Linked DNA regions of Saccharomyces cerevisiae S288C. Changing the gene in region 4 together with the main gene of any one other region gives a genetic interaction. Each region holds a gene or a part of one and is shown on either strand. Other genes may lie near its edges.

Region 1 (3,404 bases), 810 kb from region 4:
AAGAAGAACTTTATTTATCAATTCGCCCGCGAAGTTAAAAAAAACCGATCTTCGCAGGCACTCGTTAGAACTTAGAAACAGTTCCTCTTAGGGCAAGCGCCCTTGTCGTATTTAGCCTTCTTTAAGTTGAGCTGTAACGTTGTTCGAGTCCGAGAAGTATCCTTGACAGGGACGATAACCATCAGCAGGAAAAACGGTATTTTCATTTATATCCTTTCCTCGAGGAGGGCTTGAATTATGCAATCTCTAAATACTATTCAATTCAGAGAGTAGATTTTTGTGGGCAAAGTAGACGTCGCTCTCTTTCAGTATACGTTCTTGAGCTTTCCATTTCAATGAACCGGCAACTAAGTTGGTATCCTTTCATGATCCTGTCGAGTACATTTATAACAATCATGTTGATTGTTCCAGTATCATAGATAAAGCGGTCTCGTGTCGTTATTGATGGTAAAGCGTCAGGTTACGATGCCCTGAAAGGTTACAGTTTAGTTATAAAGTACTATGTAGTGAATGATATGTTAGTACTCTATAGCATGTAACGTCAAGTCAGAGAAGGAATTGATCCAGGGTTTTTCCTTCAAATACTTTCCTTCATCAAAATCGGTGAGTATTTGGCAGGACTTAAACTTCGGTGCTATTGAATCATAGTCTATATCAGATGGTGTGACCTTGAGTTTAGAGGAGTTGTTTCTGTTTTTTCTTTTTCTCTTTGGAATGAATGTTGCAAAACCATCTACATCATGTGCTTTTTTAACTTCTGGCGGAGCGTTAGTCTGCAAGTAATGAACTAGCTTGCTTAAATTAGGATAGTTTTCACAAAGTTTTGCTTTGGTGTATCTATCGGTGTGTGATATCATATTATTTGCCAGCCATAAGTGTGGTCGCTGTGACGATAGTATGTTCTCAGTTAAATCCAAAGGAGCATGGGGAAGGAAATATAATACCGATTCATAATCAATTGCATCGTTCTCTGAAAATTCTTCCTCTATCAGCCATTTGCTTCCTAAACTTTTCAAGTACTGTATCTCTTCTTTAGTAAATATTGGATCATACAGGGAAACAACGACATCCCTTTCATCCTCACTTTTTATATAATCAGTAATCTCTAGGAGAAGAGCGAATTGGTACGTCGCAGGAAAATCCTCCTTGAAATTTCCAATTGCAACACATCGTATTTTCTTAATGTTATTGAGGTGCGGTTGTAAATTTTCAAGTAAATCTGAGAGGAATGCTGATTTTTTCAGAACATCTCTATTTGTCTGAACAATTTCTTCAAACGCTTTAGCAGGCACTACCTTCTTGCCAGTTTTCTTAAACTTTGTCCCACTTGCTTTAAAATCCATACAGCAGAAGACCGGTCAAGGTCATTAACTTCGGTATCAGTTCAGGATCTTAGCAGTTTTCTAGAGTTCAAATAAGTTTTCACTTTTTTCATCGCTACACGTCGAGCAAGCATCATTCCTTACCCGACCCGCAGATAGTTTACTTCCCATAGAGCTTTTATTATAGTTTTACATCAACTAAGGATGTTCAAACCGTCTCGTTTCCCAAATATGCAGTCATGGAATATGAACACCTGGTGGTATTAGCTATTTATTTTTACACGAATAATTATTTGTTATTTAGCAGTCGTTACAAATAGTAACTTTTACCAGCTAATTATGAAAAAAATGAGGAAGGCGTCAATTTTTGAAACAAACCTCTCGGCTTTCCTCTATTCATTTTTGTCTTTCTACAAGCAGCATTTGCGATCATCACTCTCTTTATCATAACTCACTGTACCCTGGGCTGATCCATTAGCACCCAATGAGCCTAGAGGTTCATAGCAAAATATGAAACGACCAACGATAGCACCTATTAAACAACTAATAATGATATAGCCGTTATAGTACATGAACAGCAGCATGATGATATAAGATAACCCCCACTGTAATACGAAAATAGTAACTCTTATCATGTGATCCAAAAAAGTTGGGTACAAATCCACTGGCGTTATTAATGTACAGCATGATAGGACCTTCTTTAACAGGTCGTCTTCTGGCTCGTTCAATCTCCTTGGACCCCAAACGTAAAAACTATAAATGAAACTTTTTTGTAAGGAAATTAAAGTTGTTTTCCAGCTTGGTTCGTTGTAAAAGCCTTGTAGTTCTTCTATATCAGATTTAGCATCCTCTTCTCCACATTTGACAACGTACTCCTCTGGCGAGTAACTAGCTAAATGCTTTATTTTCTGTCTTTTTAATAGCTCTACGTCAAATTGCCTTGAAAAACGAGTAAGCCATTGAGCTACCACCACAAGCGCAAAACAGCCGATGCAAGAACCAGCAAATTTTCCTTTGGTGTCATTTCTCCAAGATCTGGCAATGAAGCAGGTGTCAATGGTATACCAATTCCATAACATCGATATTTTACAAGTCGCTTTTTTGGCAGCAGTGCTGCTACTGCCTCCCATATTCATCTTTGTATAGCCCTTAAATGTGTTTTCGTCTGTTGTTATCCCTCTTCTTCGATCAAAGTGTTAGGAAATGAAATAAGATAAATTACAAGTCTATCGGAGAAGTGAAGAGAATGTGGATTTTGATGTAATTGTTGGGATTCCATTTTTAATAAGGCAATAATATTAGGTATGTAGATATACTAGAAGTTCTCCTCGAGGATTTAGGAATCCATAAAAGGGAATCTGCAATTCTACACAATTCTATAAATATTATTATCATCATTTTATATGTTAATATTCATTGATCCTATTACATTATCAATCCTTGCGTTTCAGCTTCCACTAATTTAGATGACTATTTCTCATCATTTGCGTCATCTTCTAACACCGTATATGATAATATACTAGTAACGTAAATACTAGTTAGTAGATGATAGTTGATTTTTATTCCAACATACCACCCATAATGTAATAGATCTAATGAATCCATTTGTTTGTTAATAGTTTAAATGTTTTTATCGGAAGAGGTTTTGTCATCACATCAGCAATGTTCTTCTTGGTCTCGATGTAGTATACGTATAAATTATTACCTGATACTTCATCTCTAAGTCTCATTGCCTTTGTGCCAAAAAATCTGTTTCTAAATTTCTCTTCATTTGTAGACTTAATTATACTGATCGTTGATCTACTATCAGTAAGTAAGCCTTTAATAATTGGTTTCTTGTTAAGTTCTTGCACAAGGTGACTGAGGTTATTCAATAGCGGTATAGCTTCACTGACTGCGTGTATTTCTGCTTCTGTAGTTGAAGTGCATGTTAACGAAGCCTTTGTCGACTTTCCTCCAATCACTTTTCCGTTGAGTAGGAAAATGTTACCAATTTGTGACTTGTAATATGGTTGGTTACCATATGAAGCATCGCTTATTGCGACTAGTTTATTATCTGGCTTGGTAGGTTTGTTTTTGTGC
Region 2 (3,423 bases), on a different chromosome or scaffold from region 4:
TACAAAAAACTCGTCTAGAAGAACAGCACATCGGCCTCCTATATCGGTACTCATCACAGAATCAATGTATAGTATGTGTCAAGGAGAATGTATTAACGCCAAATTAAAGGCACACTAACATGTAATGAAGCTGGTGTTATATATTTTTTTTCAATTGACGTGAAACTCAGTGTCTTAGAATTATTTTTTAGTTCAAAGAGTACGGCTATTGAAGTGAGCCACAATGTCATTTAGCTTTATAAACACAAGAGTAAAAGTGCGCTTGTCTTCGCCTCAATGAATTAATGGAGCAGAAAATTTCTTAACGGTCAGCAATACTTGAAAATAATTTTAGCAGTTCAAACTTTCGTTGTTATCTTGATACTGAACTCTCCTTAGTATTCATATAAATGATTCTATTTAATAGTCCCCTCCGCAGGGTAATTTTAAGGCCTTCTTTTATTTCCAAAGGAATTAGTATATAGCATATAATATAATTTATCACCAAATCAACAGAAAATATCATAATAGCATTAACCCGCAAGAATTTCTTTAAATGAACACAGTTTTCTGCAGTGTTAAATAGAAATTTCTAATTATCCTGCATCCAAGACATGAAATCGGTATATTCAAGGAAATTTATTAGCACTGAAATGCATATATTCATTTTTGTTAGCCACGGAACTGAACTCTCATTATAATGTGGCGGTCCGGTTTCCCCTAAAAATAATTGAGGGCATATATGCATATCTTTTCGAGACTCAGGTTGAAAAAGAGCCTCCTTAGTTCTGCACATACATCCAATAGTAGGGCAGGAGTCCCAATCAAATTTAGGTATGTCCTCTATGCTATCACCCACCTCTGGTAAACAGCCAATTGCGGCCTTTATGATGAACAGTGAGGAATTCAAATTAAATTTACTCTCTGAGGTGAAAACCCATTTCATAATAACCTTTTTATCCTCTACAACATATACTGATCTAATTTCAGAGCATCTAACCAGTGTCAATATCCTAAAATCTTCCTTTTTTCCGAAGTTGAGCTCTAGTATGTGGGATATTCTCTCCTTATTGCGATAATAGCTTGTTTTCTTCACCTTAACAGTGCAAAAAAGAACTTTAAACAGAGTGAAACCGTCGCACTCTCCTTTTACCTCATAATCCGACTCTTCAGGGAAGTCCCCATTTTTCAATATCTCGTATTGATAAAAAAGAAAACCCACATAATCTCGCCTAACAAAAAAAGGCTTCTTAGTGCGGAAGGCAAATAACGGCAAGCCCTCTCCATCCGCCGTAAATGACTTGAAGGGATGCTTCCTACTTGCAAACAGATTTATAGATCGTTGTGATTTGAATATTAGATCGTCTTTGAAAACACGAAGCTTGACCATTCCAGTTTTCGTTACAGTATCAAATTTAAACTTATCCGGAACATCCTTCCTGTCTTCGTTAGCGTAGATTTCTTCTTCTATAGCCTTTACTCGAGGCTCGTAACCATCAGGATGCCACAGCATGATACTGTTTACAGAACTCGATCATATACTAGAACCTTTGACTTCGGTAATCAGCCCGCATCCTATGCTTTCATTTCCTTGGCGTATGTTACTGACTAGTTTCCTGGCTTAAAATAGGAGAATTCATCCTCTTAGTTATTTTCTTGGTGGACCACGTGCCTTGCTTAAAGCAGGGCGCTGCCGTTGTTGCAACAGCATTTTCAGACTTTCCTTTAGGTAAAAAAGGTCAACCAATAATTTTATTTTATTTCTGATGATGGTTGCGCGTTCCAAGAAAATCAAAACCTTGGGCCTCATCCTCTTCTAAGACGTATAATGCAATCAAGAAACCCTTCCCAAAACCTAATAAAGGCTTGTTATTAGTTTCAAATTCAGGCAGAACTCGACTTGGATCTTTTAAACTTTTAAAGTCGTAGAAAATAGGTGCATAATTAGCTAAAACAGAAGAGACTCACCATTTGAATTATATAACTTTATTAATTCGAGTAAAACATCCATCAGGTATAGCGTGTTGCGGAAAGACTTTTTTTACTCTTATTGTAACAAATATGTGTTACAATTTACCTGTAACCTTGTTCTGTATAAAATTTTCTCTCGTTGTCATATGCCAATCTTTATATAATTAATAGAAATTTAGGAGGAACACAAGAAGAGGGGTAGATCCCGACAAGCCTTAACATACAGACGTAAAATTACTCGCAAATTTGCGAACCACTTGGTCAGGTGCGGTACGTAAAACGAAGATTTGTACAATAAAAATATTGTTGGTTTAGCTAGATTATATTCTCCGATGATTTTTTAACTTCGATTTCCATCAAATTTTATATTAGACAGTAATGGAGTTTCAATTTCGAAGTCACTTCACTTGAAGCTGAATTATACTAAAAAAATTTTCTTTTACTTGATTTATTGCTCTGCAGTGTCTGATAGTGTAATGGCGGATAATGCAAAGAAGAGTAAAGGGAAGATATTTTATTTCTTTGATTATACAAAATTTTTAACTTGTATGTGATCCCTGTCTTTAATATCGTTTCATTATACAAACTAACTACAGAAATAGCTAAATGAGTGATTACTGTGCCATCATTTTGACTTCAAAGATCATCTATATCTTGATATAACATCTACCTGTCGAAAGTAAGATCATCCCTTTGCGGGCATGTAAGGTGTAAGATATAAGAACAAACAATTGCTAGAAAATAGCTTTGAATGAATGTTAAAAGGGACTGAACTTAGAAGTGTGCGATTTTCTGTTTTCAAAATTTGCCCAAAGCGCTTCTTTTCTTTTTAAGAATTGTATAGATGTAATTATTTAACGGATGTCTGACATTATTGAACCTTCCTAACTCCACAAAAATAACCAACGGGACCTCTACCTTACTAAACCACTTCCCGCCCCATTAACTAACCAGCATAACCTAGACAATACAAGGAAATGTACTTCGAAATTTTAAGGTAAACGCAATTCTTGTCACAATATAAAGCTCTCACTGTGCTCATACACTGCTTCGATAATAAAAACCAAATGGTTTCTACTAAAACATAGCAAGCCTCACAAGATATAGAGATCACACACCATTGAAAAAGAAAGTTCAGCAAGTTTGCTGGAGGTTGCAAAGAGACTAACGAAGGGCTTTCATAACGACATTTTACAGTTATTGATAAAAGAATGCTTTTACGACAGCAGAACCTATTGGTTTGAAGAAGATAGAGGTCTAGTAGTATATTGTTGCTTTAATGATTCAAACTCTTAACAATGTGGGCAAATATGCGTATGATTTCGTTCTGGGAAAGGATAGTAAGAAGCCTTTTTGATTACAAAACCGTGAAAGACGGTTTAGCAGCTTTTACAGGAAACCTGCTTTACCTTAGCCAGTGTTTTCTCATCTTCAAAAAAAAGTATTGTACGCAACTCTTCCATCTAGCAGAGC
Region 3 (2,999 bases), on a different chromosome or scaffold from region 4:
GTTGGGTAGCACTAAACAAATGTTTTCTTGCTCGCTAGTTAATTTTTATAAAGGAAGGACTGTAAATAGTTGGAATTCGAGAGGGGAGCAAAGAAACTGTTTCTTTCAGTTCAAATGGTCTTGCTATAGTGTCTTATTCAACTGAGTAGATATATATATTTGAATATGCTGTTCTCACTTTTGAAGTAAGAGAGGGAATGCGAAGATAAATACAGAATAATTTCATGTAGTTTATAAATAAACAATGGCAATTTTGAAAAAAAAAAAACAACAAAGCACGATGCGAAATGAGCGAATTCCGTCCCAGCGCGTTTCAAACGGTAAGAGCAAAGAGAATGAGTGAAGTGACAGGAATTTGGCATACTGGTACGACGAGACGTAAACAATACTTAAAGAGCAGTTGAACATTAGCATTAGAACGATTATTAGCTATTGATGTCCTGACGTGGTGTACAAACTATACGGAATCTTGTATATAAATATAGGTAGCTATTGACGATGGTGAAACACTAATCGTCCTTATTCTTCTGTTTCGACTTCAAAGCATTATTAACTTTGTCCAATTTAAATTTTTTGGAAAGTCCTTTTTCCAATAGCCAGTAAGGAACAAATATCATGACAAAACGCATGATGTTGGCGAACGTTCCTCTATAAACATCTACAGGGTCACTAGTGCTCAAGATATCTTTAACCAGTTGCTTTGCGTACGCATCAGCTGGCATGGGCTTATTGTCCTTAGCCATGGTTTTTCTTGAATTAAAAGCTTCCCTACCTTCAGGGAAGTTGTATATTGAGGTTTCAGGCAAGGGCCTTTTATCAGCGATATCAGTAGCCACACCGCCAGTAATAGCGTTAATCACTCTCACGTTGAAGGGCTTCATCTCTAGATGTAACCCACGAGCATATTGGTGGATAGCAGCTTTAGAAGCGGAATAAATGCTACCAAAGGGGAATGACACAACTCCTGCCAAGGAACCAGTGAAGACAATGGTTCCTTTCGCTTTAATAAGGAACTCCGACAATTCACGGCACATGTTGATATGACCAAACACATTGACCTTAAAGCATTGTTCTACTGCAGCATCTGTTGCATCCAATGCAGGGAATGTACAACTCTGACCGGCATTGTTGTACAATAAATCTAATTTACCATCAGGTAAATTAGCTCGCAAAAAACCAGAAAATGTTACAATTTCTTCTGGCTTGGAAATATCCAACTTATATGGTTTGATACTATCGTTACCAAATTGGATGGCCAATTGTGCCATTGGTTCTAGTCTTCTTGCACATGCATAAACCAAATAGCCATTTCTGGCTAATTCCTTCGTTACCTCATATCCAATACCACCTGAGGCGCCTGTAACAACGGCAATCTTTTTAGGTTGTGACTGTAACTCCGACATACTCTTTGAAATCCTGATCAATATTTGAATTGAGTATATATTAATAGAAGTTGGGCATGATGAATAAAACTTATTCACTCTATTTACCTACCCCCTTCCCCCTTTCCATTGACTTATTTTTCACTTTTTTTCTCCACCGGATGAGGACAAGAGAAGCACCTAGCTGTGAATACACCAGAGGAGGAAGTAGGGGGAAAAAAACGATATCAATATAAAGTAAAGAATGATTCTTGAATAAATAGTAAATACAACTAATAAAAAAAGGTTCACATAAATAAAACGTTAAATTAAATAATTTTAAAAAGACTAAGCAGATGCTAACATCATGAACAAAAAAAAAATGTGAATGTATCAAAAAAAATATTTGTTAGATCATTCTTCAAGTAAAAAGGCTGTCCATAAACATTAAGGTAAAAATATTACGTGTTTATATGGCTGTATTTTCATGTTTTTCATATTTGAATTCATCTTTAGGATTGTTGGAAAACATCTTTCAAAAAGGCATCTTCTTCGGCCAAATGTAGTGATTTGCTACCGGCAGCAACAGCACCACTTGGGTTTCTACCACAGTATCTGACCTTGAAATCCTTATATTTATCCGTTTCTTTTAATGTTGTGTGTAAGCGTGGTTCTGTGTATGCCCACGAACCCATGTTCAATGGCTCTTCCTGGCACCAAACAATTTCTTCCAAGTTTGGATAAGAATTTAATGAATCACGTAGCTGAGCAAATGGGAATGGGTGCAGCTGTTCAATCTTTAAGAAAGCAGTGGTCTTATCACCCAAACTTTCACGTCTTTTATGTAGGGCAGTGTACACTTGGCCACTCAGCAAAACTAATCTCTTGGTTTCCTCTTTCGTACCAATACTTTTTCCATGTTCAATATCTTCGATAATCCATTGGAATCCGCCTTCAGTGAATTCGGAAAGAGATGATCTGGCCAATGGGTGACGCAGCAGCTGTTTAGAAAAGAATAACGCCAATGGTTTACGGAATTGACGATGTTGCTGTCTCCTTAGAATGTGGAATAAATTAGCAGGCGTAGTTGGATAAACAACCTGGAAATTACAATCCTGATGTTGTCTCTGTAGCTTTTCTTCAGATGGGAAATATCTTGGGTCTTCATTGGCTAGTTGCAAGAATCTTTCCAATCTACCAGACGAATGTTCTGGCCCCTGGCCATCATAACCATGGGGTAAAGACAAAACTAAACCAGAGCGTTGCTTCCATTTTTGTTCACCACCGGCAATAAATTGGTCAATAATAACCTGTGCTGTATTTGCAAAGTCACCGAATTGAGCCTCCCACATGACTAGATAATCTGGGGAGGTTAGCGAATAACCATATTCGAAACCCATTACACCGTACTCAGATAACGAGGAATTTGCAATGGTGAAGTCTGCCTTTTCATTATTCAGAGTGCTTAGCGGTGTGTAAATGGCTTCAGATTGTTGGTCATGCAAGACTGCATGACGTTGAGAAAATGTACCTCTTTCTACATCTTCACCGGAAACCCTAACGTTCTGACCATCCAAAACCAATGTACCGAACGCTAATGCTTCACCGGTGGCCCAATCGATGCCTTCACCTGTCTCA
Region 4 (2,310 bases):
AAACAACAACTTTTGTTCTGCCATTAGCTAATGCCTCAGAACCTGGACTTGTTAAAATTTTATTGTCGAATAGATAAGGTAAATCGTTTGTTTGTGTTTCGAATTCTCTGGCTAATAAATTTGCGTGGTTATCTGAAACTATGAGGAAGTAGACTTTAGGCGTGCCAGCTTCAGGATTCAGTGGGTTCTCTGCGTAAACCCACGTTCCCTTTTGCAATTGAAGAAGTCTTTGATGACGAACGTAATCACGAACCTGGCCTGATAGCATGGTATCGAAGCTAGCGATACTAGATGACCAGGTTCGATACTGTTCTTTTTTGATTGAGTCTAATTGTAATGTTCTTGCAAATTTATATCTCATAGAGTCAAGTGCAACAACTTGGGTCTTGAGAAGGGATTTCGTCTGTATTGCTGCTTCCAAATCACTGGATGACAAACAAACATATTTTAAAGTGATAATAGCTAAATTTAACAGTGAAACCAAATCACTTTGCGATTTTGCTAATGATTCTATCCAAAATCTCAAAAACAACTCGAGTGTTTTGTAAAAACATGTTTGTCGATTGAGAACAGCGGTAGCAATTTGTAATTTTAAATCACGCTCTGAGTCTGAGTATTGGTTCTCTTTTTTCCCACTTAGATTGAAAAGTCTTCTAAATTGGTCTGAAAGTTTAAATATTGCTTCATAAAGAGGGAAATCGTTCTCGCCAAACAACAATTGTTCAGTGTAAAGTCTCTTGAAAGACCCATTAGGACTGTTTAAGAATGTGAATGTATCATACGCATTTAATAAATTTATACTGGGAAGATCGCCCATTTCCATTTCTAACCCTTTTTGGAATACGGAGTTATCTTTGATGGCTGTAAGAAGATCAGCTTTAAGCGAACAGGAATAATCATCAATACTAACCGAAGATAGAAAATTTATTAGCCTCTGCTTTAACGGTACAAATTCTTCAAGGATTAGTGGTTGCAAGTCTTCTATGTAAAGTAATTCAGACATGGAAGCTGGAAAGTTATACTGAAATAGCAAAATGAGGATTCTGGGTACAAATTCTACGGCGTGTGATAGTGATGTCTCACATAATGTAAGTGAGCATTTTAAAAATAGGGTTATGCATAGTATAGTGTCCGTAAACAACGGTATATGAATAGGTCTTTGGGACAAAAGTTGTAAAAGTATTCCAATGAGCTGAGAGTTCTCTCTGGAGATGTGGCAGATGCTCACAATAACTTCATTCTTATTAGAATCTTGGCATTTAAGGGCTACATTAAAAATCCTAATGAGATTTGCTACCAACGTTTCTGACCTTAGCTTTTGGCAATTATCACACAATATAGCCCAAAATCGGGAATCTGGAATTACGGTTTTACATAGGTATTTTTCATCACAAAGGAGGATATAGTTTGCCAATAACTTTTCGTATTCATCACTTGTCTTGTTCAAATTTTTATTACTGATCAGCGTATGATAGCAAGCTTTTGATTGTGCACTCGTAAGTGACTTGACTGGCTTTCCTAATTTAGGATTCAGTAGCACTTTTATGTTTTCCAAGCTTTCATCTGGCATCTGCCTGTTATGCTTCATTGCTTATGCCGTTATTTGAGGTTACTTTAATCTATTTTCCTACTGATGACACAATTGAGTCAATCCAACGTGGAACGGGTTGCCCTTGTATACATTTCAGTTTACTTCTTTTCATGTATTTCCTTAATAGTTTATTTTTTCACTTTCTGCCTATCCGTTTCAATTCCGAAGAACCGTCAACATCCAATAAAGATCATCTACAACAATAAGTGCCCCTCATAATTTTCTCAATGAGATGAAAGAACTTTGAGAGAGTCAATATAATACCTGTAGCCTTTTTCTGAAAATGACTGATAGTGAGAATGAATCCACCGAAACGGATTCGTTAATGACGTTTGACGATTATATAAGCAAAGAGCTACCTGAACATTTACAGAGACTAATCATGGAGAATTTGAAGGGTTCTACTACTAATGACTTAAAGCAAACTTCAAACAACTCAGAGTTTAATGTCAGTAAAAACGGGAGCTTCAAAGGTCTCGATGATGCAATTCAAGCTTTGCAAATGCAAAGCGTGTTGCATCCTTCTTCGTTAGGATCGTTAGCAACGTCCTCCAAATTTTCTGGATGGTCGTTTGCTCAAGGGTTTTTTGTAGGACAGCTAAGCATAGTGTTGTTGTTCATCTTTTTCCTAAAGTTCTTTATATTCAGTGATGAGCCATCTAAAAGTAAGAATCCGAAACCTGCAGCCTCCCGTCACAGATCAAAATTTAAAGAATATC

Evidence for each region.
Region 1: mutations in YLL006W-A (region 4) and BER1 together harm fitness more than expected from each alone (negative genetic interaction), as found in Saccharomyces cerevisiae (one large-scale study listed by BioGRID).
Region 2: mutations in YLL006W-A (region 4) and YER186C together harm fitness more than expected from each alone (negative genetic interaction), as found in Saccharomyces cerevisiae (one large-scale study listed by BioGRID).
Region 3: mutations in YLL006W-A (region 4) and AYR1 together harm fitness more than expected from each alone (negative genetic interaction), as found in Saccharomyces cerevisiae (one large-scale study listed by BioGRID).

What each region holds. Positions count from the first base shown.
Region 1 is NC_001144.5:946,307-949,710, reverse strand, and holds BER1 (Ber1p), read right to left. Parts: upstream 1,344-3,404; coding exon 519-1,343; downstream 1-518. Other genes in the region: high-affinity Cu transporter CTR3, read right to left, coding at 1,733-2,458.
Region 2 is NC_001137.3:561,134-564,556, forward strand, and holds YER186C (uncharacterized protein), read right to left. Parts: upstream 1,493-3,423; coding exon 572-1,492; downstream 1-571.
Region 3 is NC_001141.2:124,608-127,606, reverse strand, and holds AYR1 (acylglycerone-phosphate reductase), read right to left. Parts: upstream 1,404-2,999; coding exon 510-1,403; downstream 1-509. Other genes in the region: alpha-ketoglutarate dehydrogenase KGD1, read right to left, coding at 1,874-2,999. UniProt on the Saccharomyces cerevisiae protein: Can convert acyl and alkyl dihydroxyacetone-phosphate (DHAP) into glycerolipids and ether lipids, respectively. Required for the biosynthesis of phosphatidic acid via the DHAP pathway, where it reduces 1-acyl DHAP to lysophosphatidic acid (LPA).
Region 4 is NC_001144.5:134,712-137,021, forward strand, and holds YLL006W-A (uncharacterized protein), read left to right. Parts: upstream 1-1,633; coding exon 1,634-1,810; downstream 1,811-2,310. Other genes in the region: LMO1 (Lmo1p), read right to left, coding at 1-1,588; ERMES complex subunit MMM1, read left to right, coding at 1,875-2,310.